Linked DNA regions of Caenorhabditis elegans. The protein of the gene in region 2 interacts with the protein of the main gene of each other region in a pairwise test. Each region holds a gene or a part of one and is shown on either strand. Other genes may lie near its edges.

What was found.
Region 1: the proteins of mics-1 (region 2) and atad-3 interact in a two-hybrid assay, tested with the Caenorhabditis elegans proteins (one study listed by BioGRID).

Annotation. Positions count from the first base shown.
Region 1 is NC_003280.10:10,244,406-10,253,226, forward strand, and holds atad-3 (ATPase family AAA domain-containing protein 3), read left to right. Parts: upstream 1-4,585; coding exon 4,586-4,960; intron 4,961-5,006; coding exon 5,007-6,019; intron 6,020-6,066; coding exon 6,067-6,466; 3' UTR 6,467-6,759; downstream 6,760-8,821. Other genes in the region: nrde-2 (Nuclear exosome regulator NRDE2), read right to left, coding at 1-478, 551-1,057, 1,140-1,745, 1,791-1,955, 2,005-2,126, 2,301-2,713, 2,759-2,835, 2,881-2,994 and 2 more; F54B3.1 (Protein SZT2), read left to right, coding at 6,889-6,947, 7,112-7,403, 7,588-7,758, 7,805-8,282. UniProt on the Caenorhabditis elegans protein: Essential for mitochondrial network organization, mitochondrial metabolism and cell growth at organism and cellular level. Important during development for the up-regulation of mitochondrial activity during the transition to higher larval stages.
Region 2 is NC_003283.11:10,576,010-10,584,505, reverse strand, and holds mics-1 (PDZ domain-containing protein), read left to right. Parts: upstream 1-6,179; 5' UTR 6,180-6,184; coding exon 6,185-6,248; intron 6,249-6,296; coding exon 6,297-6,476; intron 6,477-6,521; coding exon 6,522-6,652; intron 6,653-6,702; coding exon 6,703-6,980; intron 6,981-7,025; coding exon 7,026-7,154; intron 7,155-7,443; coding exon 7,444-7,543; 3' UTR 7,544-7,996; downstream 7,997-8,496. Other genes in the region: T21C9.6 (Phosphoenolpyruvate synthase), read right to left, coding at 1-113, 161-400, 451-590, 637-1,122, 1,204-1,268, 1,314-1,405, 1,448-1,839, 1,885-1,969 and 1 more; lpd-9 (LiPid Depleted), read right to left, coding at 3,954-4,145, 4,567-4,699, 5,114-5,184; erh-1 (Enhancer of rudimentary homolog), read left to right, coding at 5,480-5,570, 5,642-5,772, 5,818-5,907; vps-54 (Vacuolar protein sorting-associated protein 54), read left to right, coding at 8,100-8,299. UniProt on the Caenorhabditis elegans protein: Plays a role in the regulation of lifespan in a partially daf-16-mediated manner, and may be involved in regulating the levels of reactive oxygen species production in response to heat stress.

The DNA.
Region 1 (8,821 bases), on a different chromosome or scaffold from region 2:
CATCTACGACGCCTTCCTCCATCTTGATCTCTTTATAATTCTTCCTTCTCTCGTCAGCTTCCACTACTTTTTCCTGTTCTTTCAGTGCACGCTCCCACCAAGACACAAACTTTTCCATGTAGACAATTCCTGTGATCTTACTCAGCATGGCACGCTTGAAAATGTCTGGATGTTTAGTGATGAATGTTCCAACCAAGTTTTTAAGATTCAGTTTAAAACTGTGGAAATTCAATTTCTTCTCCTGTTCCGAAGCTTCGGTGACGAGCATTGCCAGCAAGTACTTCACCATAGTCTTATCCAAGTATTCAGGATTGTTTTCGGTCAGTTTGAGTCGATTGTAAAGCATAAACTTCAGAATATTATTTCCAACTTCAAAGCACTTTTTCTCGGTATAAGTCGGAGTTTTGTAGAAGTTAACAGTAGAATCATTAGAAATCCAATCAGAAATGATTTGTTCGGTTGTTGTGAAGCAGTTCGTCTGGAAAAAAAAAGTATTTTTACAATTCCTCAAAATTAATTTCAAGCATAATATTAGTTGAAATTTGCTTACCGAATTTAAAAATTTGACGCCGAGCAACTCCAAAAAAGGTTGTACAAAATCGAAATTAGCACAATCGCCTGGTGCTTCATAATATCGAATTCTATCAAAAGGAATGATGTCCCAGAGTTCACATGTCTCTAAGTCGTCCACATGATCTTCATAAAGTTCACAATCTTTCAGTTTCGTCCGTTTCACGCGAGCATCGATGTTCATCATTTCTCGTTCAACTTCGATCCACGAAATCTGCACGTCCCGTTGAGCTTGAAGACACGTCGCTATTGTTTCCTCGGTGCGTGAAATAAGAATATCAAAATCATCATTTTCCAATTTCTGAATATCTTCATCAGATAATTCTTCCGATTGTTTAAGCATCTTCTCTGCACCAACAGCACCTTCGTCGCCGATTCGCGGAAGACCAGATTCCCAGAATTCCTCCAATCTGACTTCCCGTTCTTTTGAATTAGTGCTCGTCCGCTTTTCAACATCAGCGAGTCCAAAATTGTATTCAAAAGTGGCCTGAAATAAGTAAAATCTTGAAAAAAAAAGTGATTTAATACTCACAAAACCAAAGGTTTCTTAGTATTTCCTAAAATCTCACCTGTATGTTTGCCAGTACCACTGGCGTGTGTGCACAGGAAATCATCCACTTCAAATAACGAATATAAATCCATAAATGGAACATTCTAAGCAATGGTCTATCGTTAACAGCATTCAAATGTGAAAGAAGTGTTCCATTTGTCAATCCAGTCACTTGTCGGATACAATCTTCGAATGCATTCTTCAATTTTTTGTAATTGTACACATTGCTATCATATTGTATATAGTCCAAATACTTGATCCATACCATTGGTTCATGTGGAAATGTGATGGTAAGATTTTTGAAGTCATCAATAATAGTAGGAGAGTTGGGATCCATTTTGATGAGTAATTCAATTTTCATCAATCGAAGTTTTGCATTTCTACCGTCGGCTTTAATGGCTTTTTTCACCATTTCCTGGTGACGTTCGGCAAGAGCTGCTGGATTTGAACTGGAGAAACTTCCAACATTCCGACGACACATTTCTTCTTCCATTGAAATTACTTTGATTAGAGCATCAATGTTATGAACATTTTCGGAAAATGTTTTCTTCGCCTGTTCGAGCTCAAATGTGAACGCATCTTTTCGATTATCCGAATCGTTTGCTAGAACATCATCGTCAATGTGCTGAAATCTTGGTTTTCGGTTTCCGATATATTCAAAATAACTCACATCAAGATTTAATAAATCAACTCTGTCACGAATCTTCCAGTAACCGCCGACTGGAGGCACATATCGAAAGAATGTCTCTTTCGGAACATCCTTCAAGTATCTATCCAGCTGCTCCCAGAATGGGCGGTTTTCCTTGTCTCTGGCATATTCCGCTCCATAAATATTCTGAAAACTGGTTTTTTGAAAAGATTAAAAAATAAGTGCCAAAACATACGTTGAACAGAATATTGTTATGCTCCAAACCGACAATAAACTTGACACTCAATCGACACTTGGCAATTTCTTTCTTCGGAACTCCTTGCGTATAGTTTTCACAATCACTTTTAGTTTGAGTAACTGTAATTTTTTCTCGTTGGAACTTTTTAAATTAACAATAATTTGAAAATTGCGCAGTATTTGCCGGCTGGCGATAATATGAATATTTAATTTCTAAATATATTTTAACTTTGAATCGTAAATAAGCATTAACTTTATTGTGATATGATCACTTTTTTCGATGAAAAAACTTACTAAACGCAGATGAAATGTACGCATCGCACGTGCGATATTCTTCATCGGTGAGAAATGCATATTTTGCAGGTTTGTTCATTTTCATTAAAGTGTGAGATGACGTATCCCGAGCACGAGATGACCTATCCCGAGAACGAGATGAACTAGAGCTTCGGCTACTGGATCTTTTTCGTCTGCGTTCCTTCTTTCTTCTCTTCTTTTCACGACTCCTGCTGCGTTGCCTGCCATTATCCCGATCGTATCGGCGACTGTGAGATCTCGATGGACTCCTGCTGTTGCTTGCTGAACGTTTACGACTTGTGGATTGTTGACTTGTTTCTGGTGGATCTTGGCAACCATTTAAGCTTTTAACGGACGGAAATGTATTGTAAGCAGTTGCCTGAGCTGCTCGGGCCGCAATTTTCGCGTCTCTCCTGAAATTTTATATTATTTTCAAACTAGAAAAATTATTTACGCACAAGGCATTTTGCTTTTTCACCTCTGGGAGAGTGAAAACATCATCTGGATCAATGTACCTGTGGGGGCTCATTCTAATCTGAAAGCAAAAATAAGTTTAAAGTTTAAATGTCACTGGCCTCACCCGAACACCACCATTATCGTCATCACTATCAGATTCTCCAATTCCAACTTGCTGAAAAACAGAGTCATTCTGCACGGCGAGTTTCTGTTTTTCGTTTCTTTTTAGAGTGGTAGTCTGAAATAAATCGCATGAAAGATGAAAAAAAAAACTAAATATTTCTCACCGCTCGTTGTTGAACAGCAGCCCTTGTTTGCGTATAAAGATCTGGATTCTCACCAGAAATTCCTGGAAAAATGAATTTTGCATTTATAAAAATGAGATGAATTCGTAGAAAAAACTTACTTTCTGGATTTTTCAATCCATTATTTCCATACGCTCGAAACATTGTTCATTAAGTTTGGTATGATATTACCCTGAAAACAGCTTAATTCACAATTTGCATAATTGTTTTTTTAATGAAAGAAAGAAAGTTTTAAACAAAAAAAAAAAGGAAAAATGTGACTGTTCGAAAAGAAAAACAAAGGTGTGGGAGGCCCCACGAAAAGGGGAGCAGAACGAAAAGGGGATCTGCAAAAAGGGGAGATACGAAAAGGGGAGATACGAAAAGGGGAGCTGGCACTGTGCCAAACGCACAAAACGCAATTTTTCTCACGCAACGCACGTTGATTTTTGAAGTTTTCTTCTAGAAGATACGCTTAACAACACGCGACGCGTAACATCGGAGCCGATGCACCATGTTTCGGATCGGTATAGGTTCAAAAGTGGTAGAATTATATAATTTATTACTGATAAATCCGTTGAATGATAAAAATGAGAAAGCTCATATTTAACATGCGACCTGCCGGTCCGGGAGTAAAACGAAGAAGTGACGATTTCCTTGCGCGGTGTCGACGTGTTGGGGTTTGATGTGCATGTGTGGTAGTACTGTAACACTCGTGACGTGTGTGTCTTTTGGCGCGGCTTTCAAACAGGAGTTTCCCGGCTTTGTCGTTGTTGATGACTTCGGTGGATTGTCGTGAGCATTTAGAATACGGAAAGACTTCGTAATAATCATAATAATTCTTTAATATTTCCTTGACGCATTTCCTGGGTATTAATATCATTTCTCAGTCGTGATCGGCGGAACATCAGTATTCTGCGTATTCGCGACAATCGTTGTATCGTTTTCTTCGAGAAAAATAGCGTTTGGCACAGTGCCAGATCCCCTTTTCGTTGCTCCCCTTTTCGTATCTCCCCTTTCCGTATCTCCCCTTTTCGCAGATCCCCTTTTTGCAGATCCCCTTTTCGTTCTGCTCCCCTTTTCGTGGGGCCTCAGATGTGGCCTTTGAACGCTGGCGCACTTTACGATATCGAGAAATGCGTCAGAAAATGTCATTGGAGCATAATCTGCCTTAGCGATTTCTGTTTTTTTCCAACAATCTTAATTTAATTTTTTAAAGTTTATTTTTCAATGCAGAATGTGTTTCAAAAAATAGAAATTCGTGAATTATAACGACGGCAGGTCTTTTTTGACGGCAGGTCCTTTAAATTCAGGGAAAATGAGCCGGAAAATCTGTTTTGCATCATCTAATTTTACTGAAAAGGTTGCAACTCTGTTTTAATACTACGTTTTCTTCAAGGATTACACAAAGTCTCTCCGAATTTCATTCCTTTAAAGAAATTATTGTTTCATACTTTGGCATAAGTACATATATAAATCATTTCCTTTAATCAATATTCCTTAGAATATTTTTGCACCATCCCAAGCTTCAATCTATTCTTTCAGATGTCTTGGTTATTTGGTGTTCAAAAAAACGCTACTCCGCAGATTCCGGATGATTTTCAAGCAGGTGCTGCTCCTGGCGGTCCACAACAACCAGGTCAAGGCCAACGGCAAGAGGGAAACAGCAAAATGGCATATTCCTTCGACTCAACAGCTTTGGAGCGTGCCGCCAAGGCTGCTCGTGATCTAGAGAAATTTCCAAATGCCAAAGAAGCTCTTGAATTGTCGAGAATGCAAGAAGTTACACGCCAAAAAGAGGTCGAGAACGAGACCAAGAAGATCGAAGCTCAATTGGCCAATATGAAATCAGAGCACATTCGTGTTGCTGAAGAAGAACGGAGGAAGACTTTGGGAGAAGAGACTAAACATGCGCATTCGGTAATTTTTCCAAACATCTGAATACATAACAACTAAATAATTTCAGCGTGCTGAATATCAAGATCAATTGGCCAGAAAGAGAGCCGAAGAGGAGCTTGCCATGAAAGCTAGAATGCAGGAAGAAAGCCTCCGAAAACAAGAAGAGTCTGTCAAGAAGCAGGAACAACTTCGCAAGCAAACTATTGAGCATGAGTTAGCATTAAAACACAAATACGAGCTCGAGAAAATTGACGCAGAGACCAGAGCCAGGGCAAAGGCTGCTCGAGATAACAGAGATGTAAACTTAGAGCAAATGAAGCTTCACGAAGAAGAGAACCGAAAAACTGTCATTGAAAAAATTAAAACCAGTGGAGAACTTATCGGTTCTGGACTCAATCAATTTTTGAATGATAAAACGAAAATCGCTGCTGCAGTAGGAGGATTGACTGCTTTGGCTGTCGGCTGGTATACCGCTAAACGAGGAACTGGAGTCACCGCAAGATACATCGAATCTCGTCTCGGAAAACCAAGTCTTGTAAGAGAAACATCCAGAATCACTCCACTTGAAGTACTCAAACACCCAATTAAAAGTGTTCAAATGATGACTCGTCAGAAGAAGGATCCACTGAATGGAGTTGTATTACCACCTGCTTTGGAACGTCGTCTTCGTGATATTGCCATTACCACCTCAAACACAAAGAGAAATAATGGACTTTTCCGTAATGTAATGTTCTACGGACCACCAGGAACCGGAAAGACACTTTTCGCAAAGAGTTTGGCTCAACATTCCGGACTCGATTACGCAGTTCTCACTGGAGGAGATATTGCTCCACTTGGACGTGATGGAGTATCTGCAATTCATAAAGTATTCGACTGGGCTTCAAAAAGTCGCAAAGGGTTGATTGTTTTTATTGACGAAGCTGACGCTTTTTTGCAAAAGAGATCAAAGAATGGAATGTCTGAAGACACACGTGCAGCTCTCAACGCTTTCCTCTTCAGAACTGGAGAGCAGTCGAGAAAGTTCATGCTTGTCGTGGCTTCTAATCAGCCAGAGCAGTTCGATTGGGCAGTTAACGATCGGTAATCCTTTTTTTTAAATAAAAAACAGAATTTATTATTCTTTTCAGTTTCGATCAGCTTGTCGAATTCACACTGCCAGGAATGGAAGAACGTGAACGAATTCTTCTGCAATACTTCAACGAGCACATCGTCACTCCAGCAACTAGTGGATCTCGTTCTCAACGACTGAAACTCGATAACTTTGATTGGGTTGCTAAGTGTAATGAAGTTGCCAAAAAGACATCTGGAATGAGTGGAAGAGAATTGAGTAAACTTGTCATCGGATGGCAAGCTTCTGCATATGCATCTGAAACCGGAGTGCTCACCGAGGCTATCGTTGATCGTAATACTGCTGACGCAATGGTTCAACATGAACATAAGATGGAATGGCTTGAGAAGGAGCAATTGAAAGCTCGTAACCAAGAAGTCAAGTTCGGAACTACGTTGAAGAGAGAAACTGCTGTTTAATTTCAAAATATTCATTTCCTTGTTCATGATACTCTATTGTTTTCTATTTACGTTTTTTTGTTGTTTTTTCTTTTCTGAAATCTTCAAACTTCCGGTAATTTCGTAATTTCATTCTTAATCAGAAATTTTGCTGATAATATAATTTTTTTAGATAATTCAATTAGGCCCTTGTTTTTCTATTGTTTTTTTTCGTTTTCCCCTTATTTTCTAGGTCAGTCATTTTTATTTAGTTTTTGTGTAGTAATTTAAGTAGAGTGAAAGATTATTGTTTTTTTTTTGTTAATAAAGAAACTCTTCATTTTAATGTAATACTAACTAATAATCGCTTTTGTTGCACTTCAATTTTTCATATTTTGAAAGCTTCTGAAGAGAAAAAGCAAAAAAAATAATTTTCAGCCCAAATGTTCGATTAAAACGATCAAATGGATACTGAAACAAAAAACTTGCGGGAGGCCGGAGAGGTCTTTCTGTTTATGCACAGGTAAGAAGGAAAAAGCTGGCAATATATGGTTTTTTCAGAAAATAAGAAATCAATTGAAATTAAACGTTTATGAGCTTTTAGCCTAATATTTCCAGAAAAGCAACAATAAAAAGCTAGAAACCACAATTTTCAATATCAGAAATCCTGAAAAACAATAATTTCAGAATCTTCCGTGCATCCCGCAATCTTCGTGCACATTGGTACATTGATCATCTCGGAAAGGCCGTATCAATCGAAGAAGTTCCACAATGCTCATCATATAAACCATCAAAAGATCCAAAAGATGAGTACAGGCAAGAGATGACAGTCATCGGGATTGTACCAGCCGGAGGAGATGGTACAGAAGTCGTTGGAGACGAGCAATTCATTGTGACTGTCAGAACGAAATGCACATATATATCCAGATATTATCGAATTGTTTTTGTTCTTGATCTCAGTCCATCCGTTGTTATGGCGGTGAGTTGGTTTTGGCACGGCTGCGCTGCATTGTTCATCTGAAAATTCTACAAAATGAGCCTTGGTTTTTTGGTCCCAAAAACCAAAAAATCAATGTTTCGTCAAAATACCAAAAAAAAAAACAAATGAAAAACCTAACAAGTCCCAGCCCAGAGCAATTGTGCGAAATCACGTAATTTTTCAGGACGATGAATCCAACTGTTGCCTCGTTGATCGAATCATCCCAAGCCTTCGAAATGCTCTACGATCATCAGTAAAATCATTTGTCATACCCGGAACGAATCGAATTTTTCGTCCTCAAGTTCACACGTCCATCTGCTTGTTCACACCTTTTATGAAGTTTGAGGAGACTTTTGTACGTTCTTTTTTCCGCTTGCATCCGAATTCATAAATTATTTCAGACGTTATGCCAAGGAGTCTTCGTCACTGAATCAAATGTTGATATGGTAATTGAATCGGTTGAGATAAAGTTCGTCGACATCTACAAACGACTGTTCACCTTCTCCCGTCCGATTCTCGAAATGTGGGGAAAACTGAAACGTCGTCACAAGCACAATAAATTCGATTCACTTTGTGAGAGTGACTCGCAGAGTGAAGATTGCAGTCGAAAAGTACCATCAGCGGAAAATATTCACTTATCTGAATCTTCCGCAGCATCGACTTCACACAAAAATGATGGAGATGCAGACAGAGCAATGGATGGTGGGAATCTTATGTCAATACAACGTGGAATATGGTCTGCAACTGAACGTCATGAAGATCAGAAACAATTGTCATTTGCAAGTGATAAGAGTTATGTTGCACCGGATTGGTCGCTGATATTTATGCTTCGAATGGGTCTTTTACAGATTCAGATGCTCCCCGAAAATACTCAATCTAGTGAGTTATCAAGTCACAGGGCTGGGAACAAAAAAAATTAGATTTCCCAGAAATTGAAAAAAAAAAGTTTTTTCGATTTTCTGATATTCTGAAAAAAAAACAGATTTTACAGATAAGTGGAAAAACGAAAAAAAAATTCAATTTCACAAAAGAAAGGTTTTTAAAAAAATATTTTCGATTTTTCAAAAATTAGCTTCAAATTTTGGTTTTTTCTCAAATTATGAACAAAATTAGAATTAAAAAATCATATTTTATGATTCTTTTTTTTTTTTTGAATTACCGATATTCCGAAGAAAAATTGCGATTTTTCGAACAGCGGAAAAACTTTTTAAAAATTTCGATTTTACAAAAATTTGGACTTTTCTTTTGAAGATTTTCCAATTTTTGAAAATCGAGAAAAAAATCAAATCACAAAAATGGGTAAAAATATAGTTGTTTCGATTTTCCGATATTCCAAAGAAAAAAAAAGTGTCTTTCCATATTTAAAAAAATTGAACTTTAAAAAATTTGACTGAAAATTTATTCTAAAAATTGTAAAA
Region 2 (8,496 bases):
CTCCACGATCTAATTTTACTGGATTTGCGGTGAACATAACTCCAGCCACTCCGTTTCGATCCATTTCTTGAATAACTACAGCCATTGACGGATTAAGCTGCTGACCGTAGTTTCTGTAAACGTCACATTGTGATTGAAATTTTAACTTGTTAAAACCTACTTTCTGTAATTCAATACTTCTCTTCTAAAATTAGAGCCCCAACACAGCTTCAGTTTATCAACTATATCAATTTCAATCACATCCAAGTAACTTTCCAGTTGTCCAGCTGATGAAAGATCTGCTCCATCTTCTCCAACTGCAGATGATCTTACTGCATAGTATTCAGAACGCGGTAACCACTCCTTAATTTCTTTTTGCAGTTCTTGAGACACTTCACTTTCGAAAAGAAGCCCTTCAATTCTAAAATATGTCATGTTTCTAAATATTGGATTGATAACTTATTTTATTACCTTTTACCAACATCCTCATAATACTCGGCATTTTTATCGTTGATATCGAGAAGTTTTATTTCTTCTAAAACATTTGGATTCGCAATTACATGCTTGTTGAAAGCTGCGGTAGTGACAACTATTCCAGGAGGCACATGGAACTGAAAATCTATTTCAACATTGTATATGCTTACTTTCAGAACTTACATCATCGGTGATTGCTTGAAGTCTTGCTAAATTCGCACCTTTTCCGCCAGTTAACATTTTATCCTGACATGCTCTGTGATTGAATGAGACTACTGATTTCATCTTTTCTGATTCAGTTGCATGATATTCCGGGAAACTATCGGGAAGTTTAGTTGTAACTTCATGAATTGCCTCTCTCACTCTAACCACAAATCCAACTCCCGTAAAAATTGCAGAATTAACTTCTAACGCAGTAACGTCGACAACCTTGTTGTCTTCTCGAATAAACGTGAAATGACATAATTTTCGTCCTTTTCTCATTTCAAGAGGGAGAAGTCCACGTGAAACATATTTGAATTGAACTGGAAGCATATTATCTGACTCAAGGGAATGAGAATTATCAATAATTATTGGACGAGCACTGTGATCTGAACGGAATCCCACTCCGTGACTAACTGATTTCTTTTCATCTACAGAGTTGACACGATAGGAAATTGCATTTGCATCCTGAAAACTACTTTCTTAAGCGGGATAAGCCAAAAAGTATTTCTACTTTTCTATAATACAAAAAAGATAAATAAACCTTACGCTCAGGTATGTATGAAAATGTGTAGAACTTGTCTCCAAGTCTAATGGATTTCTATGACGAAGTCCTGAAACTTTGATGGAATTTGGTTTTTGTATCGTGTGTTTTCAACCTCTATATCTATGTTCGACAACTTCATCTTTCCCAATTTTGATTTCTGCGTGATATTCACCCATTTGGTTTAACACATTTCCTTTTCGGTACCTAAAGTTGATATAACGTATTTGTAAGAAATGATTCAGTCACTTTTCGATAGTTTTCAAATTCTCAATCAGTGCAGTTGGTTTGTCATTGTAAATTTCATTGAATGACTTCAAAAGAGCATTTGAATAGAAAAATCTAGCATTCGACACACATTTCCACCATCCCGAAAGTATAACAAAATGAGAGTTGCCTTTAGCATCATTCAGGTATCCACGGAAATTAATTCTCCATTTACGGAATGGGTTTCGAAGCTCAATTAGCAATGGTCCACATGAAATTGTTCGATTATCGGAGAATACTGCTTTGTATGATCCGGAATAAAGAATTCCTTTTTCGAAAACTCGAATATGAGCAAAATGAATTTCATTCTTTGTTATAACTTGAATATACACAAAACTATTATCTTCTCCAGAACCGCTAATTGTTAGAATTTCCTGCAAAAAAAGGACGAATTTCGTGTCTATTTTTATTATTCATACTTCATTTTTAATATGTTCCAGTTCCCATTCCTCTTTATCAGGGTTTATAATGTCACGAATCTTTGCAGTTGGAGCAGTGAACTTTCTGAAATTGTATTGAGTCTACTGTAGCCTTTTTTAGTTTAAAAAAAATCAAAAAAATCTCGGTAATTCACTAGAACTTATAAAAAGACAATATGCATGAATACCATCAATATGCAAGAAGGGAACAGTTAAAGATTTTATTTTGAAAATGTTTTAAAAGTACGATTTCCAAATTTCGATCAGCGAAAAAAAATGAGTGGTATTTAAAGTATTGCAAAAACGTTTGAGTAATTTTTTAAATCAATCTTTTATCTATTCAAGCACATGTCTTTTCTTTAAATACTATAAGAGTGAACGAATCGGATAGTCATCGTTCATATTTTCCATAGAAATCTAGATAGAAGTTTCAACTTTTTGTCAATTTATCAAAGTATGGTTTCTGCTATTCATTCAAAAAAAAAAGTGTGCTCACTTGTTAATCAACTGATAGTATCAAATCACAATTGACAAAAAACTCGAATTTCAATATAGATAACCAGTTTGGGTCGTAAACAAAAAAGTGATCAATTGCCCCATACTGGGTCCATAATCACATTAGTACTCACTTGACCGGATGTCTCCATTTAAGGAACGCGTATATCACTGGATACAATACAAACTTGCATAGTGGAGCTGAAAGAAACAGCAAAAACAGGAATATCAACATTTGTTCTGTAAATACGTAGAATTTTATGTCAATAGCAATACATGTAAGAACATCAATAACTGAAGAGATAGATCTTGATAGTATTTTAGTAATCAGAGATAGCTTCAAGTGTACTTGTCTTGAAACGGTTTATAAAATAGTTTTAAAATGTATATATTTGCCAACTGATTTTCATGTGACACTTAGAATATCTATGTAGTTTGATAAAAGACTCTTGATTAAATCATTAAATAAATACAAAAGTACGTGCAGATTTGATAGTGATTGTGCTAATAAATTAGTGTTGTTGTATTGAAGGTCAAATATTTGTTGTTGGAAAATGGAAAAGATCAATAGCTTCTAGCAACTTATATGTCAAACTCGGCAAACAAAGATTAATTGAGAAATTTTAGTGAATTTTTAAGGCTCAATAATCGGGCATATTGTTTCTATAAAAAATCATCGCTAGACATTCATCTATATCACATCATAGATGAGTATATCATAGCAGAGCTGTCGGTTTTTTGCTTTTTTGGTTTTTTCGTAAAAATGGATTTTTGATTTTTTTTTCAGACCAAATTAACAGAAAAATTGTTTTTCAAAGATGTTATGTTTTAGTTGGATTGATGAAAAATCGAAAAAAATAGAGTGTTTTTTTTTTGGTTTTCTGGAGAAATTCGATTTTTTGTTGTTTTTCACAGCCCTCACAAGGTATATCATCACAAGCCTATCATCACGGCCATATACTCTAATAGTATGACATGCAAGTCGAATTCCAGAGAAGTTAGTACTAAATAATAGAGAATACAATAGAGATGTCACACAATGAATAATCTATGGCAAGGGCTCGAAGAAGAATTCGGCAAAAAAATTGAATAGTTTGAGTACAAACCATGTTTTCCAAAAACGACCAGTCATTGCAGAGAAGTTAACTAGAAAGAATGTGAATTTCTATGTTTATACTTCTAGCATTGGTAAGTTCAAAAAATAAGAAACTGGAAAAGTTGAGTGCTGAAGAATCTTATGGCACATATAAACTGTGGCTGATAACGAAATGATTTGGTTGAACGTATAAGTAGTTATCAGGAAATAATCAATAACTAAGTTTATGACGATGATGATTTTTTCGATAACTGAATTGACGGCGCAAATAAAACCAGCCGACGTATTTAATTTCCATCTGGGTGGTCTTCTAATTCGAATATTGGATATGTTCTTTGCAATGTTGTGAATGTTTATGGGAAGACATTTTTTACAAGAAAAATCTTTTTGTGATAATGATAATGATTACAAATACACTAAAATGGGCTCTTTCTTCCTATGCAAAAAGAAGACGTTCGGACGGTGGTGAATCAGAAATTTAGTCATGGGCATCGTCGTGACCGTGATGTCCGTGATTACGGTACTTGTACTTGAGTCGCTGCTCTTCTGGAACGGCAAAATCGTAGACAACAGTTCCGGCTTTGATGATTCCGAAAAGAAGAGCCAATCGCCACACAATTTTCAAATATTGACCATATGGAGATTGACGGAAGAAGTCGGGGTCTTTGTTCTGAAATAAAACAATACAAATCGCATTGCGTTTTATTTTATGCTGTCACTTTTTAAAAATTGAACGTTTTCTTGTTTAAAATTTTTTTAATTACTTATGCATGAGAAAATTGATTTTTTTTGTAGTACTTATGCCATTTCATAACAAAATATATGATTTTGTGAAGAACTTTGAAATTTTTTTAAAAACATTATGGCGGCTTCAAAAGCCAAGTTTTTAGCCTCGCCGGACAGTCCCGACACTATAAATCTATAGCTGTGGAAGCTTTATGATCAAAAAATTAAAAATTCAGTAAACTAAGTACTAAGGTTATCTTATTTTGAAAGCATTGCAATTAATTCTCAAAACAAAAACATATTTTCGAACTATTTTCGAACCGACTGTACTTTCGGGAACATAATTAATTCTTTAAAAAACTCACAATTGCACGATAAGCAGCTGTCGTCTCCTGCTTGGCTTCACCAAACAAAAACATTTTTGGCATGTTGTTCACATTATCCCATTTTCCCTCACTTCCGAGTCTGTTGATTTCTTTCCAGACGGCGTGGGAGTCACTGCAATAATTTGAAAATTTATGATTCAAAAATTCACCAATTTAGGAAACTGTTTTGTATTCGAGGGATAGATATTACAAGCATTGAAAAATCAATTTTGTTCTTTAAGAGATCAACAATTTAATGCATTTTTTAATGCTTTTAAAGGGAGCAAACGCATATTTTTGGATAGATGATTAAATATTTAGTATTTCGGAACAGATTAAATAAGAAAGTGAGCATTTGTTATATTTGTTAAGAATAATCACTTAGTAAACTAATTGCATTACGAATACGAAAAAGCTATTGTTTAAAATAAAATTCCTGGTAAGAACACAGATATTTTCTGAAATATCGAAAATTCCATTGATATCGTTTTTTAACATGATTTCTTGACATCAGATTATTTAGCCTTTAACACTAAAAAAAACTTACTGAGAGTGAGACGATGCTTGTCGAACTGCAATACGTGCAACCTGGCGGCCGGCGTGAGATAAGCCTGACATGGCGAAATCACCTGAAAATAATTTTTAGAATTTGTGTTGAGAAAATGAAAATTTGATAGGAATTGTTCGATTTTCACAATTTATGCAAAAAACCTCAAACAGTATGGAAATTGTTAAATTATAGAAGAAAGAAAAAATAAAAATAAAAATTGCCCGAACACCAAAAGCGCGCCAGTGGACGTCGCTGACGCACTATTCGACGTACTGGCGCACTTCTTGCTAATATTTTTTTTGCGTTGACGTTGCAGATTTACTCCGTTTTTTCCCTTTCAAAAATATTCTCAATTTTTTGAAAATGAGTCACACAATTCTTCTGCTCCAACCGACAGACAACATCGAGTCACGTTCATGGTCGGATTATGAGAATACCACGGAATGTCTTGAAGGTGAGTAACAAAAACCAAATTACATTTTAAAATTAAAAGTTTATAATCAATTAAAAACTTTTAACTTATAGGAATCTGCAGAGTCTACGAAGAATATTTGAAAAAGAAGGTTCCGGCTCAAAACGAAATCACCTATGACATATCGCACCTTTTCGAGTTCATCGACGACCTCAAAGATCTTTCAATGCTGGTTCTCGACAATGTTGGTTTTTAAAACATATTTTAAATATCGGAAAAAAAATTGCAGACAACATACACATATGTCCCCCACAATAAGCAATATGTAAAGGAGAGCATCTACAAATTAATGAACAACAGGCTCAATAATCAGCACTGATTACCATCCATATGGGTTTCTCACTTCTATCTCTTTCCAACGTTCTCTTTTCTCACTTTTTACGGATTCAGTCCTAAGTTTTAAACTCTTTTCCAAAAAATGTGAAAACGAAATTTCATATCCAGTTATACAATTCATCCGCAACCACATGAATAAATATTTTTAAATGGTGTTATTTCTCTACGTTTATAATTACAGCAGTTGTTTTCTGTGTATTATTTATTTCATTTGGAATTAGTGATTTTCGAAATTTACAAAAATCTTCAAATTGTTCAGAATGATGGTGTCTCCTCCGCAAGAGGATACAGTGTTCAATACCGATTCAGATCCAGTTTATGAACGTAAGTATTAAACTATGGAAGGACTCGAGAGTTGGTAAGAATATTCAGATCATGCCGCTCTCGTTTCCTCCCCATTTCACGCTGATGAAGATCATACATTCGATATTTCATTTGCTGCAGAAGCAACGGACGACATGACATTCAATGATACGACTACAGATGGAAATGGACAAGAATCTGTTCCATTGGAGGCATTGACAGTAGTTGAAATAGAAAAAACATCTAAAGGTATAAATTGTATTTTTAAACGTCTATATAGTACTCATTTTACAGGTTTCGGATTCAATATAGTTGGTGGAACAGACAATCCTCACTTTGTTGGAGATATCGGAATATACGTCTCATCAGTTAATAGCGAGTCAAAATCATATGGAGTCGTAAGAACAGGCGATAAAATTTTGTCGGTTAGTTTCCGATTAAAGTAATTATTAATTTAAATTGTTCCAATGTTTAGTTTGACGGTATCGATATGACCTACAAGACACACGATGAAGCTGTGGAAGTATTTCGAAGTGTTAAAATCGGTCATGTGGCTAAAATGTTGATTGATCGAGAATACTTACATCTTCAAGAAGATCGAACACAAACTCCAACTGCTTCTGTTTCAATTACTCCTCAAGTCACTCCACAGACTCGTAGTACTCAGAATAATACAGACACACCAAAGTCGATGTCGCATTCGGAATCAAAAAGCCGTTTGACGTCTCATGGACTTTCGGCTGTTATAGAAAGGTAAATTTTAAAATTTTTCTGAATTTATTTCTTATTGATTTTCAGAATTCGTGGAAAAGTTTACGAAGAAGAAGATGCTCAAAGTGTTACTTCCTATGCTCCTTCCACTCATTCCATCATTGACGATGTACCGAGAACACCACGTAAACCACTTAGTCTTTTGGATCCGAGAAAGTAAGTTTTATTAATCGGAAATTAAAAAATTCGCGATTTTTATTATTAAAATCTGACTGGACAGAAAAAAAAAATTAAATATTATTATTTGGTAAATAAATTTTTTTGGTGAAATTTTGGTAAATAAATTTGTCGAGAAATGACGAGAAATTCACTTGCATCATCCCATAAGCCTAAAAATTGAAATTGTATTGAAATAAACATTTACGTGTGAATTTAAATTAAAATATTGAGTAAAAAACATTTTGGGGGGGCAGAAATCGGAAAAGTACCAAATGATAACTTTCAGCAATTCTTGGCTAACCGAAGCTTTGTATGTTTCAATCGGTCTTGGAGCATTGACTATCTCTGGATACCTTGCCTACAGATTCATCAGAGGACGCCGTTGATCTTTTTCTCCCCATTTTCTGAATTAAATACTTGTAATATTAATTGTATTACCTCTCTCTCTCTCTGCTTTCTTCTCTTTTTTCTCGGTTTGTTCAATATTCAATTCAATTTTCTCTGTTATTCATCTGTTTCACTTCGTGACAATTTTTGGTGCTAAGTATAATGCGTATTATTGCGATGTAGAATAGGAAAAAAGTAAAATTCATAGATAACAATCCCACAGGTATAAAATAGAACTCCCAGCTTCTCGGTCAAAAAAGTTAATATTCAAATGTTCTTTACATTTTATCGACGTTTTAGTGCGAGTGGTGGGAATATTTTAGCCTTTTTTCTCTCTGAATCTTTCTCATTCTTCTCGCTCCATTATTTCGCACTAAGTGCTGCTCAAGTACCATTTCTATTCCGATTCTCTTTTTTTGTGAGCCATAATAATGAATATTGAACGTTTGTAATTTTATTTTTCTCCGATTTCAACACTGTCTCTTGCAGATTATTATATTTACTATCAAAATTTTTAGTTTTTTACTAATTCTTATTTCCAGAAATGATTCACAAATGAAATCAATGGATGACCGAACAGTAGGTCTTATATCTGCAAGTTCATCAAGAGCTTCACTCAAAATTCAACCGGAGATTGGTTATCCAAGAATATGTGATTATTGTCAGCCAATTATCGAGCTTATGACGGCTTCCGAGTTTGCACGACATATTCGACAAGATCATACGACAAAAGAAGGTGGTAGCTTTCTTTGTAGGTATGTTTTAAAAAATTTTGAAAAATAAAAATTCTAAATATAATTTTAAATCACAGTCAAGGGTGTCATCGAACATTTTTCGTTAACTATATTTTTTCAAGAGAATCGAAAAATCGAAAAAATAAATTTTTTCGATTTTCTGGAAAATAAAAAAAAACCATAAAATTACTTTTTTAAAAATCACATTTTGTTTATAT